Linked DNA regions of Caenorhabditis elegans. The protein of the gene in region 1 purifies or fractionates together with the protein of each later gene. This does not show direct contact. Each region holds a gene or a part of one and is shown in the gene's direction. Other genes may lie near its edges.

Region 1 (9,791 bases):
CGCGACGTTATGAATGTACAAGAATAGATGCCCACAATTTCATCAGAATCTTAAAAATATTAATTTTAAAAACATTCTGTGAAAAATCCCTTCAATTTTCAGTTTTGCCTGGAATCCTGGGACCACGACAAACAACACTACCGACTTTTCTACGGACTCTCGGTGCTCGTGATCCGCTCCGCAATTCCACTTGTTCTCATTTCCCTGTGCCACTGGAGAATCGCAGTTATTTTGAACACGCAGACGAAGAAATTCCAAACATTACGTAGTGCCAGGTTTGTTTTTGATGAACTTATATCCCAATCGTAATGTAGGCCAAATTATCCTCTTCTGAGAAAACATGTACAGCTCCAAAAACACAAACACCGAGATAAATCAAGGAACGAATAATAATAGGGGTAGTGAAAATCTGTACTTTATTCATTTCCGGCCTATTTCTATTCAGCTTGAATTCATTTTCCCCCTGACCCGATCTCCGCGTGTGTCCACATTATTTACATAACACATAGTGAAATAATAAGAAAATGAAAAGGAACACGATTAGATAAAGTGTGTTATTTGGGAAAGCATTTGAAAACAATGGGACGCGTTTTTTATTTCACCTTCTAGACAATTCGAAGTGTTAAGAATATGAATCTTTGTAAAGATGACATCATTTACTATTCCGAATTATAAGGAACAAGGGGAAAATGAATAAGAAATAAATTACATTGTTAAGGGCCAATGAATATCACGGAAAAATTTTGGATGAAGTGATTCAGGTCTAGCCAATAAATGCAAAAGGAAGTCGTTTGAAGTTACTGAAGAATATTTAATTTGCATTTAAAAACTTTAAAACTGAAAAAATACAATTGTGTACGGCAGCATTAAAATATCCAGAATATTCAATAGTCATTCTTAAGTTTACAAATTACTCGAACAACCCTTTCTATTTTTCAGCACAGTCACCCAATCGACTGACATCCGCCGTAAACAACGTCTTCAGACTCTCTTATTGGCAATGGTGGTCATATTTGCCGTGTCCAGTCTCCCACTGGACCTTTCAAATGTTCTTCAAGATTTGATCGTAGTGTACCAGGTATGTCTATTTTTGAATTGATATATGTTGGTGTAGGTGTCCGTGAAAGAAAAATGAAAGGATCAATCTAGATTTTGATGAATACCAAAATAGGTTGTGCGAGTGTGGGAGAAAGGGTGCGAATGTGAAACGTGGGGCGCAAAGGACCGAAAATCGAGAGAGCTTTTGATGTAGTGGAAAGAATTTGAATTGTATTTCAGGTTCGACCTGTCCCCGACAACGTTCGCCATTTTATCTTCTTCTTTTGCCATTGGACCGCAATGGCAGGAACACTTCTCAACCCGTTAGTCTACGCGTACTACAACGAAAACTTCCGGCGTCAGATTCAAGTAAGCTTCGTTTTTTTTGAAAAAAGGTACTTGAGAATAATCCGATATTTTTCAGACATGCTTTGGAGAAATGCGTGGACAGGGAGAGTTCAAGCGGGGGCTATACTCTATTGTCTCCGGCAGATACTCCTACCGGTATGTCTAACTGTTCACCTCGGAAAAATTCATGTTTTTGTAATAGAGAAACTTTCAGAGCAGACGACGAGGAAAATCATCACAGACAAAACACACGTATCGAACTGGCTAACAATCAAACTGGTGATATCGAAGTTCTCAGAACGGATCTTTAATTATTTTTTTTGAATGTTTAATGTATTTATCTATTTTGTAGTTCAAATTGACTAAAAAAAAACTCATTCATAGAGTAAGGCTGGTCTTTGCAAATCCTTTGGGTCAATAAAACCGCTGACTTTGGTTTTATTTTTCTCATTCTTGTCCCGGAATCTCAATTTTGTATTGATCTTTTTTTTTCAAATTTGTATTGTACTTTAACATTTTGGTCGTCGGTATATACGGAATAAATATGATTATTGAATATTTGAGAACTTGTTTTTAATCTATTTCTATAAACTGATCATTAATGAGAAAAGTTTTTGTATGAGAGAAACTGGAACTAAACTTGGAACGTAAAATCATAGGGCATTTTTTTCTAAAATTTTACAGAATTAAAATTTGAAAAAAAAAGAAAAAAATGGGCAGTACATCATACATTTGTTGAAATTATTGTATAATTATTGCAAACTCTTTATCCTGTGTTTCAAAATAATTTACTACCTTTTTCAATGTGAAAAATGTTAATAGTTTAATAGTTTAATTAGATAATAGTTTAAGCAGTAGTTAGTTTCCAGTAAATTTTATAAGGTTTTACTGTTGACTAAATTTTTTTCAACGTCAGGAAATACATATATGCCAGGTGAATCATCAGACCGTAGACAAACATATTGAACAACTGAAAGTTTGATTTTTCTGTCTTCATATCTATGTTCAGTCTGAAGCCTTGTTTCGCAATGCCAAATGTTCTGAATGTTTGGCGAATCCAAAAGATCATCAATTTTCAAAGATCTATATTCGTTTGGTTAACGATTTTTATTCATTCATATAGACGACCTTGCGTTATTTTTTTTAAGCAAGCAAGGGAAAATACATATTTTGAATCAGTACTAACGATTTGAGATTTCTTTTTAAAATATCAAAGATTATTTCACACCTTATACTTCAAAGTTCACGTTTCACCATGTTTTCTATTTTTTCTCTTTTTTTTTAACCCACTCTCTATTTGACTTCCATATTTCATCATAATTGCAGGGATCGGTGCCTAGTTCTGAAATGTATGAAACACACAAAATCTTATTCCTATTTTTTATACTCAACTTGTAACGATATTTGCTAATACCCGTTGTCTTAACATTATTTGCTCGGAATTCTTTACACTTCCCTTTCATCACTCAGTTGTCAATTTCAGAAAATGGAACTACAAATCCTTTTCGTTTTATTTTTCCCGCTGGCATTTTCATTTCGAGACCAAATTGTAGGCGTGCGAGGGAAATTATCTTGTAATAACCGGTTATTGGCAGGCGCAACAGTTCGGTTGATAGAGAAAAACTATATAGGTAAGTTTATCAAGATGGTTGTACAAAATTAATGCAACATTTTAGTTGTGAATGGCAATTTTAAGAATTGTTTTTAGCCATATTTGCATTTTTCTCAAAATTGATCCCTTCATTTTTTAACAGTCCCACCTGTGAAAATAATTTTCAACAACGAACAACAGAAAAAAAACCTTATAAAGGAAATATAATTTACCCTTTTACTTTGAGGTATTTTCCATACAGTACATGTGATACTTTCCAATTCGACTTTCAGAGCCTTAGGTCATTTTTATGGTCCTCATTCATATTATTTTCTTCTTTTCTGTAAGATTGTCACCTATATGAATTATTATAATGTAAGACGGCAAAAAAATTAAATAGATTCCCGTACTTGAAATATTTTTTTTCTGAGAGAAAATTCGATTCCTACTATTTGAATTTAAAAGTTAAAAATAAATGTCAACTAAATTTTTAATTCAACTGACCACACTTTTTAGGTCCCGATGTCATCTTGGCCGAAAATAAAACCGACTACCAAGGATCTTATGTGGTCATTGGAACAGGAAGAGGCGTTCTTGAAATGAGCGTTTTTTTGAGAATATTTCATGATTGTGACGATAAAGTTATTGTAAGTTTTTATTCTATAACTGGCAAAAAATGTCAGAAAAATAAAGGAAAAGTTTACAGATAACTAAAGTTCATTATAGAAAAAAAAAACATACGTTCCAAATTTGTTATGTATTGTTTAAAAGAATATTTTCAAAAGAAAAACACTTATTTCGAAAGACTTGTCAATAAAAGTACCAAGAAATACTTGAACACAAAAAATAATAAAACTGCATTAGTCTTATTTACCCCTAGATGCAAATTTCTAAGAAATTTATATATTTTTCAAGAAAACTTAAATTTCTGACTAGATAGGGATTAAAATATTTAAGTTTCAAGAATCTTTTAATAAAATAAAAAGGTCTAGATAAAATTGAATATATGTTAAAGTAATTAGGGCTGGGAACTATTTTTTTGGCGTACTTCTTTACAGGACCTAAAACGCGAGTTTTCTAGTTTTCTTGGTAACCGTTTGTCCAACGGTATTTTGTGATAGCAACCAAGGATGGATTTTACCCGTAAAATTCAAAAAAACGGGCGAGCGGGTCACCCGTAACCCGTGAAAACTCCCAAAAACGGGTGAAAACCGGGTGAAAACAGGTGAGCGAGTCACTCGTCACACGTGAAAACAACTACATAAAACGGCAAAAAAAAACGGGTGCCGTCACCCGTAAAAATGGCTAAAAACGGGTGAACGGGTGAAACGGGTCACGGGTGAAGCCATCCCTGATAGCAACCATAGAATAAGATCGTGTACCAAAAAAAAACAGTGATTTTTTTATTCTAGACGTTCTTGCCTACTTAAATTTATCGTTTAATTCCTTGAGTATATCGCAAAATTACTGAGTCACTTTGTTTGTGAATCCACTTTTTCTAATTCGCTCGATCATTTAAAGTTATTTGTTTCAGCCTTGTCAACGAACAGTCAGTCTACGTGTCCCATCTACGTACATTAGTCGAGGTACTACAGTCAACAATTATTTTGAAGCAGGCACTATGAACATGGCATTCCGTTATCCAGATGAACAACGCTCTTGTACAGACAGGATATTCAGTTGAATAGGCACGTGTATCCCATTTTCCTGTGGGTTTTTCTTGTGAGAATGATGATCTTCCAAGAAGTTATCACTATTGGATTTATATTATTGATAAAAATGTTATTATATTATATATATTACGTTTAACATTTTTTTGAGGTGGTTAAAACTGGACTATTAGGCCTCCAAATAAGTTCCGTGTCAAAAATCATAACTTTTTTCGTCTTTTATCCATTTTTGCGAAACTGTGGAAATTTATTTTATCAGCCATAGTCTTTTATTAGATAACAGTCAAAATATTGTTTGGTTCCCCAAAGTGTCCTCACTCGGAGCCAATTTGAGCCAATTTTTTCAGGCTATTTCCCGATCACACTTCTTCTCAGATGAAAACTTTTCGAAGTTCATAATTTTTTGGAAAAAATGTTACTTTTTGTACGAAATTGTACCCTTCTGCTTAATTAAATTAATTTAATTCAGTAAGTAATAAGAGCAATACAAATTTGATTGTTCTGATTTGTGACTATCATCCATAGAATGAATTTATGCATATTTTCAACCCGGAAATTTTAGGAACGGATGATCCTTTAGATCAAACGCAAATAAATCCTTATTAGCTAATATGTGACATCATTAGGTTTTGAACACATTATGCTATGGTTTTAGATGTTTTGGATCAAAACCTCGAAACATAGATTTTTGATACATTCTCACGCTCCAATCTTGTAGATTTGAGTACTTATCTTGTGGTCTAACATCGCTTCTGATTAGTTCTTAGAATAATTAAAAACGTGGGAGAAAGATAACAATATCACATTAAAACATATATTCAGCTTATCCATCTGGGATCAAACGTTGTTTTTGTGCCTCTATTTTACGAAAATGGCCTTAATTTGTTCAGGGTTGAAACAAAAACATAATATTTTTCGGTCATTTTATCCTTGAAGGCGGGCGGTTTGGGAAACCTGGAGAAATGTGCGCAGGTAGACAATGTTTCATTAAGACAACCGATATAAGAAGCCAAAGTTGAGAAAATTGCAGCGCCTATAGACAAAAATTACGGTACGTATACCTGAGGAAACACGCATGATTAAATGCAAATGAAAGTCAGAAAAAATAAAGGGACACCTAGACTTGTAATATAAAACGAATTCATCAACTGTCAAAAAATAATTGGAAGAAACGAACAAATTGAACGCTTTTGTTCGTGTATTAAAACAAACTTGCATTGAATTCTCTCTGTCACATATTTTTGATTCGTTTGTAGTTTAACTTTTGTGTGTTCAGAGGAACCAAAAGCTCTGAATTTATTTCGATGACATCATTCAATTGTTTGAAGATGTATTGTTCTCAAAACATTTCGAATCGAATAAAAGCAGCTACAGTTGTTATGTGAACCAGGCAAAAATCCAATGATCCCACTATTCTTTTGCTACTTTCTTTTCTTTGGTGCGACTGTCAATGCAATACGTCCAGATAAAGAAATAATTAAAGAGTTTTTGGACGCAAGCAGAGCAGCAATTAAACTTGAAAACAACGATGACGTTCCAGAGTTATTCCATGAAAACTTTGAGTTTAAAACATGTAAAGAAGAACGGTATAACAAAGGTGAGATATTCAAAAACCGGCTATCAAAAAAACATGTCAAAACGTTTAAATATAATAGTAATCTCCAATGTTTTGATTGGGCTTTTGTGAGCTTTTAATTTGTGCAAAATTTACGTGTATTGTGTTTGTTCAACAAATTATTGACAAAAAATTTGAAAATGTCAACAAAAAAATTTCAGAACAAACTGTGGATTATATCATTGATACTCTGAACCCGGACGATTACAATGCAACAAGACTGACAGCTATCGACAGACCATCAATGGCAAATGGCATAGTATTTGATGTGATTATCGATGGAATCACAGATGAGCCAACTTATGCGGAGTTTATTATGACTGAAGATGAACAAAACAAAGTTTGGAAACTATTACGAGGAACCGAGACCACTTGTCCGATAGATATTCCTTTAAATGGCTAATTCAATGTGTAACTTAGTTGATATTAAACGAAATCGAATGTGTTTATTGATACTATAAATATTTTGATGTTAAGGAGAAAAGGAGAAAGTGTACAAAAGACAAAAGTGGCCAATTTCGGGTAGAAAATTATTTTCACAAAGTTTGTATTGATCTACCTGATGTAGTTGCTGACACGCCTTTGAGAAAAACTAACATTTTGAGGACAATTTGCTTTTTTCCATTATTGTATATTTTGCAGACAAAATAAAATAATGAATGAAAAATGTTTATTCATCATGTTTAAAAAATGTACATCACAGACTCTGTCGCCAATGTTTGGAAATGCATTGGCATTGAAAAACCACCAAGTATGAACGATTTTAAAATTTAAAAATAAAACAATAGAAAATGTGAAAGACCAGCCAAGGTATAGGACATTACCCAGTAATTAATTATGAAATTAGAAGACAACAAAAATTAATCATTATCCGATTTTTTTGGTTTTTTCGGCGACTTTTCGACTCTCATTTCATACTTGCGATTCGAACTGTCAGAGTCCTGAAAATAAATGAATACAACTAGTTTTGTTTCATTATTCCCAATTACTTACATTCTTTTCGGAAGGCGGCTTTCGTGGAGGTGACATAGATATCCTAAACCGAGGTGGTCGAGGAGTCTGAAACATCAATATCTTTAAATAGTATTCACGACAACTTGTTCTTACACTCGGCTTACTTCCGCTCTCTGATTGCTGATCTTTTTCACGTTTTAGTCTTTTCAACTCTCTTGGTGAATGTGGGATTGGTGGTCTGAAGTTGTTAATTTAACACATTGCAAAAGGTATGTAACGATATGTTTAATTAGAAAATGTATTGCTGATTTCCTACCTATCAGGAATCAAACGCCCTTTCTCGTCATCAGTTGTCTCATCATTTGACATAACCTCATTCATAATTGGAGACATCATTGCAGAGGTGTAGCTGAAATCATGGTAAATTGATAAAGTTTCAATATAGTTTTTCATTTCTACCTGCTGTGAGGATTCAGATTTGCCCATAGTGGTTCATGAAGTGCAGGATCGCCAAGTGAATCGTCTGTTGATGGAGGACGAGTTGGATCTTGGGAAGAGTTTTCTACCGTAGCAACTCTGAAAATATTTATAATGATTATCTTAAGCTACCAAAGTATTTTTGCCGGTCAAAAACCTAATATCGAATCTGAAAGGTCTTTTTTCACAAAACGTGATGTATTTTCCTGTTTCGTGTCTCTGATCACGTACTGCCAACCATTTGAAATAAAAATACGATCAGTAAAAAAATCCAGAACAAAACAATGAACGAACAAAGTGAAGCTCGTAGTGATAATACTGTAGCTCAGAAAGTGATATAATATTTTTTAAATGCTAATTTCAGGCACTGAATGAGAAATGTATATTTGAAAATATCAAGTCGTGAAAACAGGTTTCCAAAAGTTATTGTTATTCCTTACCCATATCGAATATTGTGTGTTGTACTAATTGGCTGCAGAAGCCTCCTTGCAGCTTGTTTCTCAATTGAAGATGATGGCTGATGCGAGCTACTTGATGAACTAGCAGAGCTCCTAAAATGTATAACATAGGTGATAAGAGCAGTTATAAAACCAATAACAAACTTTTTCTCAATTCGCAAAGGTGTGATGTAAGTGTGAAGTGGATTTTCTGTGATCTCACTGCAAATTAAAAGTGCTCGTTTCGAAAACTTCTCACAATATTCAAACCAAACGTCTTCCTTCAATCAAACTTACATTCTCATTTCAGAATTGGACGGTGCAGTAGTAGTAGATTTTGATGAAGACGCTGATGCGGATTGTGAGTTTTGATCGAATGATTGGATAGCTGTACGGTAGGACATGTCACGATTACTGAAAAATAATTATTTTGTAAATAGTGATTGCTGTGATAATTGATGCTTGCCTTGTTCTTCTACTTTGTGAGCTTCGTTTACTTGGATTTTCTGATCGTTCTCTAGATGCTGGACGAGAACCGTCGGGTGGCAGAAGATATCTGCTTTCGGAGTTTCTGAAAATATTAACTTTTAGAGGAACTACGTGACACTTAAATCCGAGTACAAATTTTTTCTAAGAAAACTACTTTTAAAAAAATGGCCCGGAAAAAAAGCAAATATGAATAAAAAAAACTACCTCTTTTCGCTATCCTCATCATCTGAATCTGTTTCGGAACCAGTTGATAATTCTCGAAGCCTTCCACCACCTTCTTCCATTTCAATATCATCATGTCGCCCATATTTATTTGGATCAGCCCAGCCAATGCATACTAAAAACCTCTGACGAAGAGATAACTTTGGCGGAAGCGACGATGTTGTTGATTCACTATCAGAAGATTGTTCTTCACCGGTGCTGTGATCAACTTCTGATACTGATCCTAATGAAGGTACAAATTGGCGACCTGATACACTTTTAGCAGTTGATCTATTGTGCTGGGAATCATCATCAGAAGAAACTCCTTTTGTTGGTGGGGGTAGTAATTGTTTTGGTTTTTGTTTTCCAAATGTGTTGTCTTTGCTCTTTTTCTTCTTTCCCCCGGCAAGCTCAAAGATTTTTTTCTTCTCTTCTGTCCGTTCCTGGAAATGTTCAGTGTGATGTTTCATTGCATTACATTTGACAGTCAAATTTCGAATAGGACTAAATTTTGATAAAACAATTTTAAAAATCATACCACCATAAGTTGAAATGACAGGTCTTGATTAGCTTGTGATAATCCGGTAACCATTGCAATGAGGAAATATATAACCAGTCTGGAATTTTTAGCTACTTAAAAATTTACAAATGTTTTAAAACTTACGACAACAGTACTAAAACTGGAATAATGATTCCTGGAGACAAACTGTACTTGATACCATTAACAAGGGTTTTGTCTAAGTTTTCATGAAGAACATCAGTAATGACACTGTAGAAGAATGATTGATTTCTGAAATTCGTATATGTGATTGGGAACCTTCAAAAATATACGCTAAGCCCAATTTTCTTTATATTAAGGATGTACTTTAAAATACAGATGTAAAAATATTGAATTTTTATTAAACTTATTTGAAGTTTTAATTTATCAAACTCTTACCCAAATGGACCACAACTTTTACTCGGAGTTTTTG
Region 2 (14,594 bases), 6.9 Mb from region 1:
CTGCCAGAGTCACTAATTTTAGTGAACTGCCAGAGTCACTAATTTTAGTGAACTGCCAGAGCCACTAATTTTAGTGAACTGCCAGAGTCACTAATTTTAGTGAACTGCCAGAGTCACTATTTTTAGTGAACTGCCAGAGTCACTAATTTTAGTGAACTGCCAGAGTCACTAATTTTAGTGAACTACCAGAGTTACTAATTTTAGTGAACTGCCAGAGTCACTAATTTTAGTGAACTGCCAGAGTCACTAATTTTAGTGAACTGCCAGAGTCACTAATTTTAGTGAACTGCCAGAGTCACTAATTTTAGTGAACTGCCAGAGTCACTATTTTTAGTGAACTGCCAGAGTCACTAATTTTAGTGAACTGCCAGAGTCACTATTTTTAGTGAACTGCCAGAGTCACTATTTTTAGTGAACTGCCAGAGTCACTAATTTTAGTGAACTGCCAGAGTCACTAATTTTAGTGAACTGCCAGAATTACTAATTTTAGTGAACTGCCAGAATTACTAATTTTAGTGAACTGCCAGAATTACTAATTTTAGTGAACTGCCAGAATTACTAATTTTAGTGAACTGCCAGAATTACTAATTTTAGTGAACTGCCAGAGTCACTATTTTTAGTGAACTACCAGAGTTACTATTTTTAGTGAACTGCCAGAGTCACTATTTTTAGTGAACTGCCAGAGTCACTAATTTTAGTGAACTGCCAGAGTCACTAATTTTAGTGAACTGCCAGAATTACTAATTTTAGTGAACTGCCAGAATTACTAATTTTAGTGAACTGCCAGAATTACTAATTTTAGTGAACTGCCAGAATTACTAATTTTAGTGAACTGCCAGAATTACTAATTTTAGTGAACTGCCAGAGTCACTATTTTTAGTGAACTACCAGAGTTACTATTTTTAGTGAAAAAAAAATTATTATATTTTTCCTGGTTCTTACAGTGGGAACTCAAAAGATATCCGCAGTTGACCTTTAATCAGTTGGTGACGCCATATCTGAAATTCACCCCCCGTAACGTGGCATTCTTCCAAGACTACGTTGAAGTTAACAATTTCAAACAATTTCAAAGTGGAGCATTATCTGGAAATATGTATATCGAACAGAAAATAACTACAAGCGTCTCAATACTGATTCATTTTGTCAAAAAAAAACGTCAACTAGTCCCGTCAGTTTTTGATTCTCTAAACATTCTCACTTCTCTCATCTCTGCTCTCTCTCTTTCTCCACCTTCTTCAATCACTTTGTGTGTTTTCGAAATTGTACCCGATCATGAGACACATCCCCATTTTTCTTATTTTAAAAAATAGTTCAACCTTGATATATCGAACGTGCCAAAATTCTATTTTCTTCCTCATTTCCATCATCAGTTTTCAAGAAAAACAAGCCAATTAATCTCTCACTCTGCTTGTGCTTTCTTGAACATTAAGCTTTCTCTAGAGTGTATGTCCCCGTTCGAAAACTCAGTGTGCATTTTGTAAATTTTGTAACCCAATTTTTTGCCGCCTTATAATTTTCCCCTAAATAAAATATTCTAACTTTTGATAGGTTTTCTGTTTTAAATTGCTCTTTCAGTGCAGACAATAGGCCAATTTTGTTTAATTTAGGAATTTCAAAATTTTGAGTTCTTCGTCTAGACAAGCTTGTTATTCCTGTTTTCCAAAAAAAATGTGAATAACAGGAAGCGCCTATCTGTTAATTTGTACTATTATAACAGCGTTGAAACAAAACCCTCGTCAGCTGTACTCCTCTATTTTTTATTTTACTGACTGTCTAGAAAATAAATAAAAATTTAAAGTTTCAGATGAATTTTCATGTTATTCTGTTTGCCACTTCCATCATCACAGTTTTAGTTTCGACCGGTGAGAAGCTATTAATACCCCAGACACGAAAATTTGCGCTCAAAATACGGTACCCGGTCTGCGCACGAGACGTGCGCCTTTAAAGATTACTGTAGTTTCCACTTGTCTTTGTTGCGGAATGTTCATCAATTTTTCATAGTGTTTCTATAACTTTTTATGTGCATGTTTTTCTAGAGTTTGAAGATAGACTACTCTTCAAAGGTGCAACACCTTTTTGCATTAAAAAAACATGTGGTGTCGAGACCGGGTACCTTATTTTTAGCGAAAAATGTTGCGTCTGGGTATTGATTTTCGGCATTTTAAAAATATATTTCTGGTTTCAGCAAGTTGTGGAAAGATAAAACGAGAGGTTCATTCTTCCGGATGCCCGAAGAATTCCGTTTACAAGGAATGCACAAACTTTTGCCCGGATAAAAGTTGCCAAAACATTCAAACGGTACATTGAAGCACGCCCCTTTCAAATATTGTTCATAGATATTGAGTTATTTCTAGGTATCAAGCTGCTTCTCTCTTCGATGTGGACCACCGGCTTGCATGTGTAAAGAAGGGCACGTTTATTTGGATGGAAATGACAAAAACAAAGGATGTGTGAGCAGAGAGACCTGCAATAAATTGAATAAGCTCCGTGACGCCCATGTTCTTTAATTTTATTTGCAAAAAAAAAAACAATGAAGATCATAAATTACTCATTTGATTTGAAAGTATCCTCAATAAAGCAATATATACAGCTACGCGCAACACAGCCTCTTCCGATGGAAATGCACCAATCGAGCGTCAAGTGGCTGCTGGCGCGTTTCTAGTGCCACACGTTGCGCGCTTTCGTCGTATTTGTAATTTCAATCGCATTTTTTGCTGTTTTGCTTTTCTGTTAATCTTTTATGAAATGTTTGGATTTTTCAAGTACAGTGATATCATTCTCATATTTAGCTGCAAAAAGTAAAAAAAAAAATCCATTAATTTCTCTCTGTATTTCTCCAGTTCCTTGTTATAGCTTTAAAATCATTTTGATTATTTTTACAAATACAATAAATACTTTTTTCCAGACAGAATGCCGGATCCACTGGAAGCCTCTATCAATCATATTTTGAAACAAAAAACTCTTAAATGGATTTTTGTGGGTGGAAAGAGAGGTGTCGGAAAGAAGCCGTTCAGTTGCTCATTGGCAGCTCAACTCAACACAAAAAGTCGTGGAAGAATTCTTCTCAGTCGATCCAGCTCACAACATTTTGGATGCTTTTAGCCAGAAATTCATTCAAACTCCAACACTGGTCGAAGGATTCGAAAATCTTTTCGCGATGGAAATTGATTCAAATTCAAATGGAGAAGGCGTAGAAATGGGAAATATCAAAAAAATGTTCCAAAATGCTGCACAAAACGAAGGTGGAAGCGGTGGATTCTCGATGGAAAAAGACTTTCTTCAAAGCTTTGCTGGAGGATTTCCTGGGATCGATTAGGCAATAAGTTTCGGGGAAATGATAGAGTTAGTGTCAATGATTCTGATTTTTCTAATATAGTATTTTTTCAGGTTGATAGATTCTCTTGGCTTCGACGTTGTGGTCTTCGACACTGCTTCAACTGGGCACACTCTTCGTCTTCTTCAATTCCCAACAATTGTTGATAATTTTTTTACCAAAATTCTTTCACTTCAAGGAATGTTAGAACCAATGTTGAATAACATCGGTGGAATGTTTGAAATGGAAGATGATGAAACGCTTGAGACGATGATGACAGCTGCAGTGAAAGATTTGGAAAGGATGAACGCACAGTTCAAGGATCTTGTTAGTTTTTCAGATAATGTATAAGTGCTTTTTAAAATTATTACGGAGAGATATCACCCAGGCGCAAAAAGTACGGTATCTGGTCTTGGCACGGAAATAAAAAAATGTTAGTTACGTGCGAAAATGTATGAGCCTTTAAAGAATACGATAACTCCAAACTCTCGTTGCTGCAGAATTCATCAATAGTTAAATGCAAAACACATTTTTATAAAAAACTATAAAAATTCCAAAAAAAAAATTATGCAGCAACACGTTTGAAACTACAGTAATCTACAGTAAAGGCGCACGTTTCTTCTGCTTTTCATAGAAAATTTGTCGAGACCTGGTATCAAATTTTGTGCGCAAAATTCTGCGTTTGGGTAATATGCTTGTTTTTGGATCTCTACAATTATATCAAGGGCAACTTCTAGCTTGATCCATTGGATTCAGAGATTTCAAATCATCAAAATTTCTGCACAGTATTCAAATTTTTATTTACAGAACTGCACCTTATTCGTCTGCATCTGTATGGCCGATTTTCAAGCCGAACGACATATTCAGGAGTTGTCCAAACAAGGAACCGATACTCATAATATTATTGTCAATCAACTTCTCATTCCGGATATCGATGAAAATGGAGCAGTTTCAAGGCGAAAATGTGCACAACAAACCGGCCAAGCTTCAACTTCTGATCCAACCCGAGGTTAGTTTTATTTTTTATAGATTTTTGAAACAAGTTCATCGGAATTTTTCAGGTATGTTCTCGTGCAACTTCAGCAGTATGCACTTCAGGACCTCTTCAACACTTAACCGTCATCTTCTCAACATTCATATGGAACCACAAATAGGACTGGAACGAGTGGAGATGTAGTGCCGATTGCAAAGTCTCGCAATCTTCCGGGAGCACTTCTAACGCAGCCTGCTCAAGTTCATGAAGTATAAAAAAGAACACACCCATCATCCACGACGTCGGCTGCAGAGACTTCAGAAACAACCGAAACCATCGGGACTACGTATCTTTGGAGCGTCCGGTGTGAACTCCCGGCTCCAAAATGGTGAGTAGAAATGTTTTCTTTTGACGATTTCTCAAATAATAATATTCCAGTTTGGTGGGACAACGAAATGGAGTAGATGGATGCTCAAATCCCAAGACTACAATCCATCCATGTATAATTACCCGAAATGTCATACATCTTTTATTTTTCTAGTTTTAAACTTGCAAAACTTGTAATACCCCAGTTGTTAAGTGTTCCGTGTTACATATGTATGAATATAATTGTTTGTTAAATGTTTGTTAGTCAAGATCATTTTATACTGTATTTCTCTTTGATTTGATTATACCTTTACAACTAGATGAATAAACAAAATATAAATGAAATTGAAGAATTAAATTTTTTTCTGCATGCACAACATTTTATTTTTTCTGCATACACAACAACGTGTAAGTATACAATAAAAACAATTAGTTCAAAAACACTTTTTTTCTTTCAGTAATTTTTGATTTTTTTTTTGAGCTCCTCGATTTCGACGTTTTAAATGTTTTTTATGTAAAAAAAATCTGTGACATATCTGTGACAATTTTTGTATAAAAAATCATTAACTTTGAACGAAATTTTTTTTTTGAGAATTCTTTGACAACCAAAAAAGTTAAAATACAAAAGCATTTCACGCATAAAATAAAAAAAAAATTTCCAAAATGACAGGAGTATAATACACAAGCACCACATTTTTAAATGCTTTTTTTTCGTAAGTTTTTTATTTCGTTTTAGCAAGGTTTTTTCTGTGACTATCGTCGAATAAAAATCATGGTTGCTAACATAACTTCCCACAATTTCAAAAAATCGGTATAAAATAAAAAATGTCATGAATTTCGACTCAAGACATATTGCCACCTCTAATAAGAAAGTAAATTTAACTAACTGGACAATTTTTCAACAAAAAAAAGTGCAAACTAGCTGGGCGTCCTGCTTTTGAGATAACTTAACAAACTTCACTTTGGACTTCTCTGCATTTTCTAAGTCATCAGAAATCCGAAAAAAAACACGTATTGGATTCTTGAGACTTTGAATCAAATGTTGTTTTATCCAATTAGCATTGATAACGAATGATTGAAAAGCATACCAAACATGACTTTGTCACATGTGTCCAGAAAATGATTGATCAGAAATTATGAGACACTTCTTTGGAAAAGCTAGGCCTCAAAACATAAAAGTGAATAGATGAGTAATGAGTAATGGTTGTTCTTTCCCGCCCTAGTATTTTGCTTCTCTCATTTCTGCCCGATTTCTCCCCGCTACTGCTGCTGCTGTCGTCGTCGACGCCGCCGCCGCCGTCACCACCGTCTAACCACACATTTCGACAAAGGCGCCGAGTGTATCACGCAGCCGGATAGCGGCTGATAATATGTACAGTCTTATTGTCCCACCTACCCGCTTCATCATACTTATTGCATGTATTCTCGCATCTATCCAGCTTCTTGTACAATGCTCTCCAATATCAACGTCCTACAGAACTCTTCTATACGGGGAAAAGCTGAAAGGCTTTTTGACGGTCAGTATCGTATTAGTGTCGCCTTGTGTGTGAGGAAGTTGTCTTATCTTGCGTGTGGGGTGACTGTGCGAGTTGATTCGATTCAGTTGGGGTCGAAATGGAAAGAAAAAAAAAAGATCGAAGTGTAAATCATCCCTTTTATTCTAGTGTTTCTTCAATCCTTCCAAGGTTGTTTCCAATTTCTATTGTCAATCATATCAAGAAGGGAACGAGAAACAAGAATTTTCGTTTTAGAAATTGATATCAACAATCGTATTTTTCACGTTTCCCGGAGCAAAATTCAATTTATAGAAAGAAATTTTTAAAAAATTTGAACTCAAATCATGATGGTGTAGTCGATTATTTTTTATCGCTTTATTTTTGAAATTATTTGAAAAAACCCAAATTTTAAAATGAAACTTTTTGATAACTTTTCAAAAAAAAGTTATGTGAATGTCGCAGCGGATGTGACCTTTTTTTTTGAAATCACCTTCTAATTTTGGGTTTACAAGTTAATTATGTTGCCTTTTCAATCGAGTTAGGTTTTCATTTTTTGAGCCGCGATAACGTTTTTGTGAGTAGTTTCCAAGCAGTTTCGTTATGAAATTCGTCGTTTTCAGACAATTTCAAGTATAGTGAAGCAATACTAAAAATTCGACTGGGCTTAAATATGGCTCAAATATTAAAGCGACAGTACAAATATTAAAGCGACAGTACACTTAAAAAGTGGCAAAAGTTTTTGTCAATAAATCATTTTCAAAATTTTTTTGAAAAGTTTTGGCGCTATAGGATCATAGGTTTTCAACATTTTCCCCACTACTAGACAGTGTAAAAACTATAATCTGATATCCTTTCTCCATTTTCAACTTGGTCTAACAATAACATTCCATGATTTTTTTTCAAAACAAGTCGTAAACGGAAAGGTTTAGAAAATAAACGTCACATGTTTTCCAACAAAAAAAAGTCCATTAAATTTTAACCTCTGTGACAGAAAAACAATAGGTCAAACTAGTGCGTCTTGAAAGTACCTCGTCTTGGATCTACATTGACCCAAATTAAAAAGATCATAACTATTCTCCTACGATAGACTGATAGACTAACAACCGTGAAATGTTCCATCATTTCCAATCAGTGATTAATCTGTGACGACCAAAAAGATGAAGACACACACGTGATTGGTGGGGGGATAAGGATGCGTTGAAGACCTTCCTTTGCCGTTAGTTTCGATTTTAACGATTTTATTTTCAAAGTTTCAGATATCACCAGCTGATGAGAATGGGGATACTTATATTGTTAGTTTCGACATTAAAGAGAAACCAAATGATACTTTGGTATGGGCAGTACACACCTCATCCGCTCCTTACGACATGGCTGTAATGACTGATAATTGCCGGCGTGTAAAGAAAAGTCCGCCCGTCGTGAAGAACATGCCGGTCACAGATTCAACCATCGCTGGCGACGGTCTGGCAGGCAACACGTTGGTGATTTCCGGTGATAACAGCGAGGTGAGGGTCACCAATCATTGCTGTGGACAGTTCTTGCAAGAATAGTTGCAGGTTCTGGCTTGCGCGACAGTTATCATACCTGGCAAAGAACTGATGCACGCTTCGTTTCACCAGGAACCGATTGAAGGACATGTTCATATAATTCCGATCAAAAATAATGCAGTATGAGCTTAAATTTGAAGATTTTTAAATGCATGGAATTTGTTTTAGGTTCGCCTGGTACCTGATCTCAAGTATATGCCAAAATATGACTACGTTGAACCGGAGAAGAAAATCATGACTTGGGCATTTGTGGATTCTTGTACAGCATTGAATGATTCTACCAAACTAACAGACTACAGTGAAGTTGGTGTCGACTCGAGAGCGACTTTTGTTTTCAGTAAGATTTATTGATTTTTTTTAAAGGAGGACTAACGGTTCGGACGATTTTGAACGAATAGACCCAAAATGTGATCAAATGAACTAATGTCGTAACAAAACTGCTCAAAACTTTTTCAACAGTGTTTTATGCCGGTTCAAAATTTCGTAAAAGTTACACTGATTTTAACTAAAATTAAAAAACGAATTTTGCCCACTTTTCTGTGTCACATCTGCCCGAAGTTGACTGTTACGGAATAATCATCTTCTTTGCATATTTTGGTAGTTTATCTCTTTTGATTCCGTTTATTACAATACATTGAAAGCCATCAGGTAGCCAAAAATCATTGAAATTGATTACCTATTGGTTTTAAATGTGCTTTAATAAACGTAATTGAATGATATAATATACCAAAATATACCATTAAGAATGATAATTCCACAAAAGTAAACTTCGAGCTGACACAGAAAAGTGGGAAAAATTCGAGATTTTAGCTAAAATCAGTGTAATTTTTTTGGAATTTCAAACCGGCATGAAAAATATTTGAGAAGTTTCTTTACGAAACTCGTTCATTTAGGTACATTTTAAGTCTAGATTTTCAAAAGCGTTCTAACCATTAATCCTCCTTCAATGTTACCACAAAAAGTCCACCAAAAAATAACCGTATCAAGTTCCTTGTGTCTTCTGTACTGTTTCCTCTAAGAAATTGAGAAAGTAATGTGATAATGGATGAAAACAAAGATCATAACCAACTACATAACTTATATTTCTTATTCAGCACTTCCGGAAAACTACACCTTGGAATCATTGGCTTTATATCGCGAAGACAAAATATTTGCATGCGCTGATATCGTGAATGTGGAACCGAGAATACTCAAATCTCTTGGAGTCACACTTCGCCAGACACACTATTTTGAACCAGTTATTGGATTGAAATCTCCACCGAAAGAGTTGCATATTAGGGATGATTGTTTAGATATTTCGACGGAGATTGTGCATAAAAACTATTTGAGCTATTATCCTTCGGTTAATATTTTCGGATCCGAATCAATTATGTTAAAGGTATATCCGGTGTCTAGTGGCATTTCATTGCTGGAATAACATTATTCAGAGTCTGGTTTTGAACAATTCTTGTAATGCGCTCCGACCACAGTTTGCTCGGCCGGCTGCAATTGCCAACTTCATACACCCTGTAATTGGAAGGTAATAGTAGGATTAGCGCAAGTGGGGAAATTATTAAATACTACTGAAAACAGTAAAACTTTTTGGAAAAAATTGAAATTTTTTCATTGACAGTGAAAAAGTGACAATTACGGAGTTTTAGAGCCTCCATGGGAGGCGGGCGCGGTTTCAGAGCTTAACGCCTGCCTCCAACCTGCCCGTCTCACGCCGGCCTCTAGTGTAAAAAGTGGTTCTTTTGCCGCGGCCGACACTTTTCGAGTTTCTCGCCGAACTATATAACAGCCGATAAATTAAGGTAAAACTACGAGACTTACACAGATGCAAAACTAAAGCTTACTCGATAAACTTGTTCCTTTCAAGTGTTCTTGTCCTAATTCTAAAAATACATTACAAAAATTTTAAGTTTGGCTAAAAACACTTCTTAAATTTGCTTTATTTTTAAATTACAGTTGTGGTTGAAATTTTCGAAAAAAATGTTTTAAGCAATCATAAAAGTTTCAGAATTGTACTCGTTGATACAGATGACAAAATTTTGCTCACTGGGGAAATTCGAAATATTTTTGATGAAATGTCCACGCGTGCAACTGTGTTGGTATGATCCATTCAATAGATTGAAGACATATTATTCGTTTAGATATCCAACAAAACTGCTGAATCGACATCTTGTGCACATACAACGTGCGAAACTTGTCATAAAGTTGAAAACGCTGCCGTCGTGGTCGGCAAAAATGAAAAAGCAGTGACAATGACTGGAGTTTTCAACTGGTTCAACATATCAGACATGAAGTCTGCCATAATTGATCTCGAATGGATGAAAGTTTGCGCAAACCTCACAGTTTTGCCTTCCGGAGCCCTCACAATGCATGCCATGGTGAAAAGAGTCGCTCCGTTTTCATCGGCTACCGTCGCCTCGCTTGTGGCTTTGGAATATCCGGCCAACAATTATACGGAGGTCTGATTCATTTTAATTTTGAAAAAAGTTGTAGCTTTTCATTTCCAGATTCTGATTAATAAAAAGCAAAAATTCTCCGACGTTCAAGCACATTTCCGTCCTCTCGATCGGAGTATCACAAGTGGTCCCCCATGTGGAGAACAGAATTTAGGAGGCGTCACAAAACTTCCTTGGGTTGAAGAACTAAAGAAAAATTTCATGAGTCACGAAAACGATTCCAGTGTGATTTTTGACGAACGGTTTGTCACCGGCGTGACGAGTATGCTTGGCACTTCAATTCTCCTCAAGGAAGGGAAGGATGTTTTCTGTGGACACTTTGAACCGCCCAGTGAAAGGACAGTCGCGTTTGCTGAACTTGGACATCCTTTTGATGGGTATATTAAAATGGTGAGCTCAATAGTGTATCACGAAAAAAAATACTTTTTTCTTATAATTAGTAAAAAAGTTTTTCTTAAAAATAATTGCACTCACTTGCAAGCTTTCGAATGACAATTCCAAAAATGTTGTAGTAATTTTTTTATTAAAACACCGTTGACTAGGTATTCCAACTGTAAGGTAAAAAATTTTCAGACACAATACACAAAATCGAATTGGGAATCCGGATTTCCTACTGAAATCTATTATTCTTTGAAGTACATGAATCAAATTGACCCCACAGTCAACCCGGTTTGTTACTTTTTTTTGAAAATAATAATGGGGTTCCGAGTGCGTTTATCCCTTTTTTTCAGATTTTTTGCTACAAAAAATGGCAAAAAAGGATGAAAATGCACTTGAATACCCTCATAAAGTTTTTAAATTTATCCTCCAAATTCAGGAATCAGTGACATGGGACATTGTGAGCGATCAAAACCTAACTTGCAGCTCTGCAGTTATTTTTAATCCGCTACAAGTAGATGTGAGTGGTTTTTTTTTCCGAAATCACATTTGCATTCACATAATTTCAGGAATCTGAATGCACTAGTCAGCGATATGAGTTTTGTCCCATCGGAAGTGCTTCAAACCGCTCAAAGCCGCTGCTAATGCACGCCCGCTGGCATTTAACTGCTCAGGGTTTTCCGCTATCCGGCCCTTATTCAGGTATGTGTATCACTCATAGGAGGCGGAATTCGAAGCGTGTGAAAAAGTCATGAAATGTTGATGTCGCCTTACCGTCTATTTTATTGCAGTAATCGGCAAGACACTCAGACTGCAATCGATCAAGAACCCAAACCAGATTGGCTGTTACCCAGTTAAAAAAGTCTCAGAGGTAAACAATAAATCAAACAAGGAACCAAAAGGGGCCCTAAGAAAAAATAAAATAAATCTACCCTAATTGACAGAAAACAGTCCCAAGATACCAAATATGAATGTAAAATAATTAATTTAAAAAATTCTAAATTTTGTATTATTTTTTTCAATTCTGGAAAATATTTGTGACAAATTCGATATTTGTAACCTAAAAACTATCGTTGAATATTCTCGTTTTTTAAGATTTTTTTATTATGTGACATTGATTGTGATTTAAAAATTATACACTGTTTAGAATTTTTTGATTTTCTGAAAAAATCAATTGGATTTTGATGTCAGATTTTTTGATGTCAGTTATCTTTAAAAAACAGTAATTTTTGATAATTGTACCCTACAAACTATACTTGAATATTCTAGTTTTTCTGGACATTTATTTATTTATTACGTGACATTTATTGTGAATTTAATAATTTAGAAATGTTCGATTATTTACAAAAAAAAAGTAATTTGTAATTAGATGCCAATTATTTTCTAACAAAAATAAGTGTTTTTTTTAAATATTCACAATCTCAAAACTATACTCGAATACTCTATTTTTACGTGAGAAAAAATCTTTTATTATTGGAAATTTATTGCAATTTAAAAAGCAATTAGAAATTTTCGATTATCTAAAAATGTTGGATTATGATGCCAAAATAAAACCATTTTTCAAAATTTTGGGCCGCCATAAAAAATTTCAAAAAACTAAATTCGTTAATTTGAGCTTATTTTCAGTCTATACATTCAAAATACCGAAAACCGTTAGTACACTTTTAAGCATTTTTGTCAATTGAAAAATGTATTGTAATATCTTGAAATTTGTCTAACCCCACGGCAAGTTCGTGCAAGACTATTTTCCACTAGGCTCATAGCGCCCCTATATTGGGAATACGGCATATTTCCAGGCAACTTTCCGATGGGTGGTTTACACCAATACTTCGCTGTCTACTGTGCAGCAAAAGATTTCTGACAAAGCCGGAGTTCCGTCATTCAAGGTATGAACAAGTTGAAAATATATTATTGCACATATATTTACAGGTAGAAGTTGATTATACAAGGGAACTCTATCAAACACGATGCACAATATTTAGAATCACAATTTTAGGTAAGTGCACTTTTTTGTAGCTACAGAAGTTCAAAGAGAGTAAAGAATTATTACCCACAACTTTTGTTTCAGAGAACGATGAAAAACTGGAACAAATCTTAGACTCTTTTGATGTGGAAGCAAGAAAGTTTATCAATGATACGGAGCTCGTTTGTAGTGAAACACAGCCGTTGACAGTCGATGCAACTAATGCAATATCACAGAATATTATCACATCCTCCACATCCTCACTGATATTTTCAATTCCCTTGCCAATATCCCTACTGTTCATCTTACTGGCTCGTTGTTTTCTGTAATTGTTTTTGACAATCGGTTCATCAAATACGTGTATAACTGCGTTTTTAATAATGATATATATATTTTTCCCCTGCTCACCCCGCCTCGGTTGAAAGATAAATCTGTAAATATGGAGCCGAGTAAGTGAAGTGGTTGCGTTCGTATAACGCGATTATAAACATCCGGTTGGTGATGTGCACATCAACAGGGGCTCCTACTCACTTCAGATGAGAGCTTCTTCTCTTTTTAGCAATTTACTACGTAATTCCACCTGTCCCGTTTTGAAGGAAATAAAACGTGAAACCGCCGTGTTAACTTTCGCAATGTGTTTTTTTTTGGAATTTGAAAAGTATTTATTTAAATTTTCATTTTACCAAATTAAACAATAATTGCAAAATTGAGAGGACAAAATTGAAAATTGATATCGTTTCAATTTTACACTATTATTTTTTCACACTTTTCTAACAAAATTTATGACGGTTCAAAATTCGGTCACTTTTCCGTATTGAAGCGGTTGGAAATTAACTTTTTCTGAAATATCATCATATTTTTTCTCATATTTTGGTCTTTTATCTCACTGTATTTCAAGGTGTTAATTCGAAAAAGTCAATTTCGAACAGCTTCAACACTGAAATTTAAGCACATTTTGGGCACAAATGTTTAAAATACCCCGAACCGTTAGTCTTTTTATAGATGGAGTTTTGCCCTAAGAAACGGAAAACGGTTCAAATATATCATAAATAAATTTGAACCAATTTATATAGTTTTTCTGAATTTTTTAGTAATTTTTTCAATTTTGCATAAAATGCGATAGGTTAAATTATTTTTATTCAATGTTTCGACTTTTTTTTTCGAAATTTTGAACTCTGTAGGTTTTGCCCTAAACGACTGAAAACAGTTCAAATGTATTAAAAATGAATCTAAAACGAGTTTATAAAAATTTTCTGAATTTTCCAACGAATTTGAAAAGGCTGAAATATTTCTGAACTTTCGCGCAAAATTTTGAACCGCCATAAAAAATTAAAAATTTTATTCTAGATATATCATTACAAAATTCGTTTATTTTAGCACATTTCGAATCTATCCGTTCAAAATTCCCCGAACCGTTACAACTTGTTGATCTAAAAGTGTTTCCATGTATTCCTGTGCCTCATTTTTTTTTCTCTCAACATTTCGCAACGACGCTCATGTACACACGACGCGTGTATACATGTCGTTACCCTGTATCTAGGCGAGCTGATATCTACTATCAGGATTCCGTGGAATTTTTGAGTAGAATTCATCAAATTTGTGTGAATAAATGTCACATGAAGACGGCAGTAAGCAACGCATAAATCGACCCTGTGTGGAAAGAAGGCGATGGAGAATGAGAGAGGAGGGGAAAGGGAACCTTATTTCTGGGTGGTGCCCCCGAAAACCACCATCGACAATTTTCTTTCACGTCAAAACTAGCAATGTTTCTTGCAGCGGGGGGCTAGGTGGGGCTCCAGAACTTTTCATGTTCCCTCTTCTTTTTTATACGAGCTATTATGACAAGTTGCACTGCTGCAGTACGTTGTACTTGAATAAAAAAAACGGATATTACTTTTATTTCTATAAAAACCGAATACAACACATGATAAAGAATATTCAAGTTAATTACCATAGTGCAGCACGTGAAAGTGTTATCTTTCCACGATATCCTGTGCACATGATATGGACTTCATTAGTGCACCTGGCTATTTTCAACATGTGCATCGGTTCTATTCTCCCTTTTAATTTGTAGTCATTCATTACTCTCATTTTCTCATATTATTTCCTAG

Evidence for each region.
Region 2: the proteins of H29C22.1 (region 1) and F47G3.1 fractionate together in Caenorhabditis elegans (co-fractionation; one large-scale study listed by BioGRID). This does not show direct contact.

Annotation. Positions count from the first base shown.
Region 1 is NC_003284.9:9,307,570-9,317,360, reverse strand, and holds H29C22.1 (uncharacterized protein), read left to right. Parts: upstream 1-6,035; 5' UTR 6,036-6,048; coding exon 6,049-6,244; intron 6,245-6,423; coding exon 6,424-6,665; 3' UTR 6,666-6,736; downstream 6,737-9,791. Other genes in the region: npr-7 (G-protein coupled receptors family 1 profile domain-containing protein), read left to right, coding at 103-275, 940-1,078, 1,279-1,407, 1,463-1,542, 1,589-1,697; ttr-38 (TransThyretin-Related family domain), read left to right, coding at 2,873-3,017, 3,494-3,624, 4,512-4,661; tmc-2 (Transmembrane channel-like protein 2), read right to left, coding at 7,123-7,203, 7,256-7,321, 7,370-7,454, 7,533-7,625, 7,676-7,792, 8,134-8,244, 8,296-8,352, 8,428-8,544 and 5 more.
Region 2 is NC_003284.9:2,379,786-2,394,379, forward strand, and holds F47G3.1 (Bravo_FIGEY domain-containing protein), read left to right. Parts: upstream 1-5,967; 5' UTR 5,968-6,022; coding exon 6,023-6,169; intron 6,170-7,404; coding exon 7,405-7,653; intron 7,654-7,704; coding exon 7,705-7,815; intron 7,816-7,863; coding exon 7,864-8,032; intron 8,033-8,789; coding exon 8,790-9,073; intron 9,074-9,122; coding exon 9,123-9,214; intron 9,215-9,354; exon of another isoform or gene 9,355-9,510; intron 9,511-9,694; coding exon 9,695-9,785; intron 9,786-9,827; coding exon 9,828-10,145; intron 10,146-10,193; coding exon 10,194-10,532; intron 10,533-10,715; coding exon 10,716-10,811; intron 10,812-10,959; coding exon 10,960-11,040; intron 11,041-11,089; coding exon 11,090-11,222; intron 11,223-11,311; coding exon 11,312-11,391; intron 11,392-12,316; coding exon 12,317-12,406; intron 12,407-12,449; coding exon 12,450-12,516; intron 12,517-12,588; coding exon 12,589-12,812; 3' UTR 12,813-13,102; downstream 13,103-14,594. Other genes in the region: F47G3.4 (TIL domain-containing protein), read left to right, coding at 1,805-1,862, 2,186-2,298, 2,355-2,507.